Linked DNA regions of Danio rerio. The protein of the gene in region 2 purifies or fractionates together with the protein of the main gene of each other region. This does not show direct contact. Links are inferred from orthologs where the notes say so. Each region holds a gene or a part of one and is shown on either strand. Other genes may lie near its edges.

Evidence for each region. The genes of interacting proteins can lie anywhere in the genome.
Region 1: the proteins of snrpe (region 2) and prkrip1 purify together in Homo sapiens (co-immunoprecipitation; 3 studies listed by BioGRID and IntAct, counting the BioPlex papers as one, with this or other methods). This does not show direct contact. The link is inferred for Danio rerio from reciprocal best matches to the Homo sapiens genes SNRPE and PRKRIP1.

The regions. Positions count from the first base shown.
Region 1 is NC_133180.1:65,105,368-65,109,029, forward strand, and holds part of prkrip1 (PRKR-interacting protein 1 homolog), read left to right. Parts: intron 1-2,755; coding exon 2,756-2,841; intron 2,842-2,930; coding exon 2,931-2,995; intron 2,996-3,662.
Region 2 is NC_133186.1:40,122,983-40,127,142, reverse strand, and holds the start of snrpe (small nuclear ribonucleoprotein E), read right to left. Parts: upstream 2,960-4,160; 5' UTR 2,838-2,959; coding exon 2,784-2,837; intron 2,495-2,783; coding exon 2,468-2,494; intron 1,106-2,467; coding exon 1,043-1,105; intron 1-1,042. UniProt on the Homo sapiens protein: Plays a role in pre-mRNA splicing as a core component of the spliceosomal U1, U2, U4 and U5 small nuclear ribonucleoproteins (snRNPs), the building blocks of the spliceosome.

The DNA.
Region 1 (3,662 bases), on a different chromosome or scaffold from region 2:
CAGCTGAGCGGGACACTGCAAAATAAACTGTGAAACTGACCAATGTGAGGAGACTCAACTTAGCTGAAACAACTTCAGTTTTTTTTTTTTTTGAGGGGACAACAAATTAATTTTAATTTTGGGCATATGCTGTGTAAAACATATGCTGAATAAGTCGGTAGTTCATTCCACTGTAGCGACCCCAGATTAATAAAGGGACTAAGCCGAAAAGAAAATGAATTAATCAGTGAGTTTTAGTATTGAATTGACCCAAAGAATGCATCTTTCAAAATATATATACAGATTTAAAATAGATATTTAATACATTAAATTTTTGTAAAATCTTTTTAATCTTTTACTTTTTTGTGGGGTAATTTTAAATAAATGTAGCAATAATAATCCCAAGAGCAGGTGTGGAATGCGGTTCTACACGTTATTTCAAGCAACTTGAATAACAGAATTTGGGTGTGGTGTGTCAGAGCAGCAGTGAATCAAGCTCACATACAATAATTTCAAAATTAAATATACTGTTACAATACTCATCCAAGTGCTATTTGATTTAAATGTATGCTGTTGTCCATACGTTTGGGACTTTTCCCACATTTCTCTTTTGTTTTTATGCTCACCACAATACTTAGTTGAACATACCTACACTGTCAAACCCAACAGTCAACTTTATGAAATGAGTGTAGTTCACTCAAAATTGACAAAGTTAATTCTACTCATTTGAAAAGTTTTGAACTGTGTTGAAGGTATTGAGTTAATTAAATAGCTCATTATTTCATCTTAAATGGAGTAAGTTCACAGTACTCGTATAGATTGTTTTTTTTTGTTTGTTTGTTTTAACTCAAGGGGTTTGTAGCAATCAATTTCCTCGAATAGTTTGAGTTTTCTTAACTTTTTGGGTTTTACAGTGTAGATAATACCATAGTTATAAATTATTATATTATTCTAAATATTTTTAATGTAATTTATTCCTGTGACATGAAGCAGATATTTCAGCTTTGTTACTCCAGCATCTGTCACATGATCCTTCTTAAATCATTCTAATATGTTTGCTGTTTACAATATTATTAGTATGATTATTATTACTGTTGTTGTTATTATTATTATTATTATTATTATTATTATTTTCATAAATTTTCCTTCAGCTTAGTCTCTTATCTATCAGGGGTCGCCACAGCGGAATGAACCAGCAACTATTACGGCTTATGTTTTACACAGTGGACGACCTTTCAGCCACAACCCAATACTGGGAAACACACACACACACACACACACACACACACACACACACACTCTTACATTGACACATTCTTATACACTAAGCCAAAGGCCAATTTCATTCATTTATTTTCTTGACGGCTTAGTCCCTTTATCAATCCGGGGTCGCCACAGCGGAATGAACCGCCAACTTATCCAGCAAGTTTTTACGCAGCGGATGTCCTTCCAGCCACAACCCATCTCTGGGAAAACATCTAGACACACACACTCATACACTACGGACAATTTAGCCTACCCCATTCACCTGTACCGCATGTCTTTGGACTGTGGGTGAAACCGGAGCACTCGGAGGAAACCCACACAAAGTCAGCGATAACATGCAAACTCCACACAGAAATGCCAACTGAGCCGAGGTTCGAACCAGCGACCTTCTTGCTGTGGGGCGACAGCACTACCTACTGCGCCACTGCCTCGCCACTAAGGCCAATTTAGTTTATGCAATTCACCTATAGAGCATGTTTTTGGACATGTCGTCTATATATGCTAAATAGTTAGTTTTTGTGCTAAATAGTATAAATATTGTACATGTAATGCTTGAATAATGTTAATCTAATATGTTTGCAATACCAGTCAAAGGTTGGCAAACATAACCATTTCAACTGTTTGAAAAGTCTCTTCTGTTTACCACAGCTGCGTTTATTTAGTAATTAGATTTAAAAATACAACAAAAACAGTAAAACTGTGGAATATTGTATTTGTTACATGAAGTTGAAGTCAGAATTATAAGCCCCTTTTTTTCTCTCTCTTTTTTCAATATTTACCAAATGATGTTTAACAGAGCAAGGAAACTTTCACAGTATGTCTGATAATATTTTTTTTCTTCTGGAGAAAGACTTATTTGTTTTATTTCAGCTAGGATAAAAGCAGTTTTGAATTAAATAAAAAACATTTTAAGGTCAATATAATTAGTCCCTTTAAGCTTTTTTTTCAATAATCAACAGAACAAACCATTGATACACAATAACTTGCCTAATTACCCTTACCTAGTTAGCCTAATTAACCTAGTTAAGCCTTTAAATGTCACTTTAAGCTGTATAGAAGTGTCTTATATATCTAGTCAAATATTATTTTCTTTCATCATGGCAAAGACAAAATAGGTCAGTTATTAGAGATGAGTTTATTAAAACTATTAGGTTTGGATATGTAAAAAAAAATCTTTTCTCCATTAAACAGAAATTGGGGAAAAAATAAACGGGGCTAATAATTCTGACTTCCACTGTAAATGTTATTATGTTCACCTATAAAGTAGATTTGAATGTTAATATGTATAATACATATTCATGTAATTTCCAGCATCGTTACTCAAGTCAAGTCATTTGTATATGCGTATGTCTTCATTAAAAATAATATTTGCCAACACTGCTTTTTTTTGCCACATTTATATGTCTTGTTCTAAGCTGTTGGAGTCTGTTTTCTAGGATCAAAGTCAAATGCTGTTCTTTGAAACTGTGCGCAACCAAAATTGATTCATTTAATTGTTTCACTCTTGCAGCAAAAGCTTGATGAGGAATATAAAGAGAAGCTGATCGAAAACCAAAAGGCTGCTGAGGACAGAACAGCAAAACGCAGAAAGAAGAGGTTTGATTCTTGGTTGACTTCAGATATTCTAGTCTTTCTGGAGAATCTGTTGCGTTTCTTAATCTCAGTTGTTCTTTTGTGTTATTTAGAGAAAAGTTGAAACAAAAGAAGTTGATGGCCAAGAAAGCCAAGATGGAGAGCCAGAAAGAAGAAGGTGAGAGACAATTCAGCCACAGCCCCTTGTTCATATTCAGTTTAGAGTTAAATCATTTGTTTGTTTATGTCTACCCAAAAGCAGAAAAGCATTTACTTATATATAAGTGGATTAACACTCATGTTAGCAAACACATCTTTTATAATGTTTTATAATGGTGTTTAACACTCGGTGTGTTTGAATTAGGGGTGCTCTAACATTTTGTATGAAGTGCAGGAAACTAAATATCACTGAGACCCATGGGCTGATAGTAAATAAACCCTACTACACTCACTGGCCACTTTAATAGATACACCTTACTAGTACTGAGTTTGACCCCCTTTTGCCTTCAGAACTGCTGTAATCCTTCTTGGCATAGATTCAACAAAGTACTGGTAATATTTGTGAGATTTTTGTCCATATTGGTCCATGACGGCATCACACAGTTGCTGCAGATTTGTTGGCTGCACATCCATGATGCAAATCTCCCGTTTCACCACATCCCAAAGGTGCTCTATTGGATTGAGCTCAGGTGACTGTGGAGGCCATTTGAGTACAGTGAACTAAACATTAAACGGAAACAAAGAATGAATATTCTACAAACTCGCGTAAACCCCTCAATCATAATATTGTTTAATTTTATATAAGGACATTATTTAGATTACTGATGTCTATATGAGCAATATTA
Region 2 (4,160 bases):
TAACTCATTGTATGAATGCTGTAATGTTTAAATTTTAAATTAAAACGAGTGAAGGTCACGTGACCATCAGGAAGAACGCAGCATCCCATTTCCCACTGGATGCGTTCCCTGTTCTCGTGGTCTCCCGAGTTTGTTCTTCCAAGGAAAACTGGCAAGACTGGTCTCCACAAGAACGCAAGTCCAATCTCTGCATTCTTGGAATTGAGAAACAGCCATTGAGTTGCTGCCATGTGATTGGCAGATTAGAAATTTGCCTTAACGAGCAGTTGGACAGGTGTACCTAATAAAGTGGCTTGTGAGTGTATATTGTACTGATAAAAGGAGTAAATATTATACACCGATGATGGCATATTTATAAAAATAATAATTATAATTCCCAAGTGCTGATTAGCAGAGAGATTGTTCCAGCACATTTTTAAACAAGTATTAATTACTAATTTCTTTTGTTTTTGCTATATTATTTTTAAAAGATACAAGCATTCAGCTTAAGGGTAATTAGCATTCATAAGCAATGATTATAAAGCATTCGTAATCAGGGAATCATTGGAGAACAGAGGTTTGTTCTGAAGCCAATCAAAAATGTAAATATTTCTTAAGGGGGCTAATAATATTAACTTTTGAGATTATTTTTAAAAGGTCAAAATTGCTTTACTTCCTTCCAAAGTAAAATAAATGTACATCTTCCAGAGGAAAAAAACATACATGACATATCGAGAAGATTTCCCAGTTTTCTGTTCAACAAAAAGAACTCACATTTTCACAGGAGGGCTAATAATATCGTCTTCTGCTATATTAAATAAATACTCATCACTTTATAATGAATTGCAGTTGAATATTGATTTATTGATTCAATGCATTGATTTAATTAAAGAATCCCAGTAGGGCTGGGCAATAAATTGAAGGCGATTTTTATGCGCATTTTGTCAGTTGTGAATTAGGATTTAGCTAACCTGAAAAGGTAGGATTGAGTTTTCATTTCAATTGATCAAGCAGCCCAGATTCCCAGCTCTAGTGTTATTGGTAAATCGGAGACTTTACTCACGATGATGCAACCCTCTATCCGCATGTTGACCTGTTCGTACAGCCACACCGAGATTCGGGAACGCTGCAAAGAAGCAGGAAAATTATTACCAACTGCTCATTTAGATTTTGTGCCAAGTGGTTTAAACAAAACAATTTTTAAAAAACATTGTATAAAAAAAAAAAAAAAAAAAAAAAAAAAAAATGCTGGATTGTCGGAACCCAAAATTGGGTCAAATATGGACAAAACCTTTTATCTAATGAAATTTAAATGTCACTTTTTAACCCAATGTTTGGGCGTGTCGATATTTGACCCTAAAATTATATTAAATTATATATATTAGATAATAGTTTAATTTCGAGTTTAATCATAATGGAGTAAACGGTTGGGTGAGTAAATAGTGAGTACATTTTAATCTTTAAGTAAACTGTCCCTATAAGGCTTGTGACTGTGTGAACATTTCAATATTTCAAATTTCAAAACATCCGGCCACAAGAAATGTTTTGTAACTCTAATAAAGATTAAATAATATACAGTGAAGACTCTGCAGTGTTGATTATCTGAAAACTATAATTATATTTTATCTTTACTATATTTTATTTATCTATGCTTGTAATTGATCTGTTATGTATTATTCAAGATTCACTCCTCTACAAAATTCCCCCAATCAATCCAAATATACCTGTTGAATCAAATAGGTAAAGTTGGTTTTATATTTACACATTCATTCATTTAGCACTGCAGTCTCTTTATTGTTTACCATGTTACCTTAAATATTCAGAATTAGCATGCACGTATGAGTTCTAAACAACATTAACACTATCTAATTCACTGTGAACAATGTACTTTGATAGTCATTTGCTGCTCATATGATTTCCCCATTTACAATTTGCAAAGAATACTTTTCTGTAATTATATTATTAAGGGGAAAGTCTGAATATCAGAATATAAAACCAACTTTACCTCTATTTAAATCACCAGGTGAAATAGTTTTCACATCGCAATATAGATCACAGAAATACAAAATATTGTAAAGTCAGATCTTTTCAATATCGCGCTAAATCAAGTGTACAGATATTTTTTCAACTAATTTCTCTGACTTTTCCAAAATTCTGTGGATTTCCCTGTTTTTACAAAACTTTTCCAGGCCTGCAAAATGCTGTGTCAAAATTCCATGACTTTTTCAGGTTTTCCATGACCTGTATTTTATTGAACGTGAAATTCAGAATGTGTGAATATAATTTAACAAACTTTACCTCAATGCTTACAATATTTTCATTTCTGAGAGAACTACCACTTTTGATATTTATCAAGACATCTATAAATCAGCAGGTATAACAGAATAAAGATTTTACTCTACAAAAATACAATAAACACATGAAAAAATAGACATATGTGGACAGATAAAAGCTTGTGTATGTCGCAGATTGAAAAACAAGTACTTACATTCTGTAGATACCTGAAAATAAGGTTCTGAAAGACTCGTTAAGGAAACAAATGACATATAAACACGATTCATAACCTTTTTCATTCATTTGTAACGCAGGGACACTGTTATAATCAGCTCAAACATTGCTAAAAGTATTTAGTATTCAAAATGTTAGCTAACACAACTTATATTACCTACAATAATATGCTAAACTATATTATATTATACAATAATATGTCAAAGTATATTACATTATACATATAACAGCACACATCCAACACATATCGGTACAATGGCGAGAGCTCAATGCAGCTATTTGGCCTGAAAGGATACGATGGGCTGCACCATGACCTTTTGAACCTTCTGTCCTTGTCCTCTGTACGCCATTCTTCTCAATAATATCCGGATGTTATTATAAAAAGTGACAAAATGTGATATTAAGTGTAATAGTTATTGGCGCGGCAACGAAAATCTCACGTTGGCTGCTGTTGTTTCAATGGCGGCGCAAATCCGGAAACAGAATGACGCAGATAAAATGGCGCGCTGATTCTATGTAATGCCTCCTGTGGCTTGGGGAGACACTACAGAAAGGCAGATTCACACAATTTTATATAATGCTTTATTTAAACTTTATATAATGCATACTACTATTAAAAGTTGTTAAGACGTTATGTGCAATAATAATACACCGGTTTCAAAGCAAAAAAAAAAAAAAAAACAGAAATGTGCGCACATCTAAAAATTTCAAAAGCAGGTGCTCGATCAGAAATAAACAAAGTAGCAAAAGATCAAAAGATAATCGGCATACTCCCACTTTAGCTCTCAAAAAGTCCTTTGATGACAAAAACTTTCGACCATGGTCTTTATACCGGTTTCAATCAGCATTTACCCTTAGAGTTTCATTTAAACGCTTTATTACATTAAAAAGTACAGCTATTCCATTTAATTTCTTATTAAATATACCAAGGCTCCGCTGATATTGAAATGTAATGCTATTGACGCATTAATAGATCATAGATATATGTAATAGATCACATTTGAAGCGTAGTTTTCGACGTAGTACACAAGGTGTGTGTGACGTACCGCGCAGGCTTTTGCACGGTCAGTGTGTCTGTTGTTGTTTAAAGAGACGCTCGGCGGTGAGTGATTTAGCCATTTTTATTACATTTATGATTATATTTCTGTTTATCTTTAAGAGTACACAATTCTAGTGAAAAACTGTTCATTTTAATACGACTTAACTGTATGTAAGCTGAGCTTTTGTAACGTAATGTGGCATGGCTATTAGCTAGCCTAGCTTATCTTGTTGTCAACATTGGCAATTATATTACTTAGCTCGATCTACATTTACTTAAGGGAGAAGAAAATAAGGTTAAAAATATTGAATTGACTAATTGTATATGTATATGTTGTTTTAGTTTCGCGTTAAACTCTATAGTTTATTGTTTAGTAGTTGTTTCTCAATAGCTCAGCACAATCCATTATCTGTAGTGACTCTTAAATATTTGTATTATTTAAAATATTGGAATATATTTGTTACCAACTTAGTATATTTCTCTCTTGTTTCGTTTGTGTATTTGATATATTATGTATTTATAATCTGTATAAATAATATATATTTTTTTAAATTGTCATTGAAAATCTGATGTTTTCTTTGTTTATTTTGTAAGTTATACTTTGTCCATCAAGAGGACATTTTCTGCGTACTCT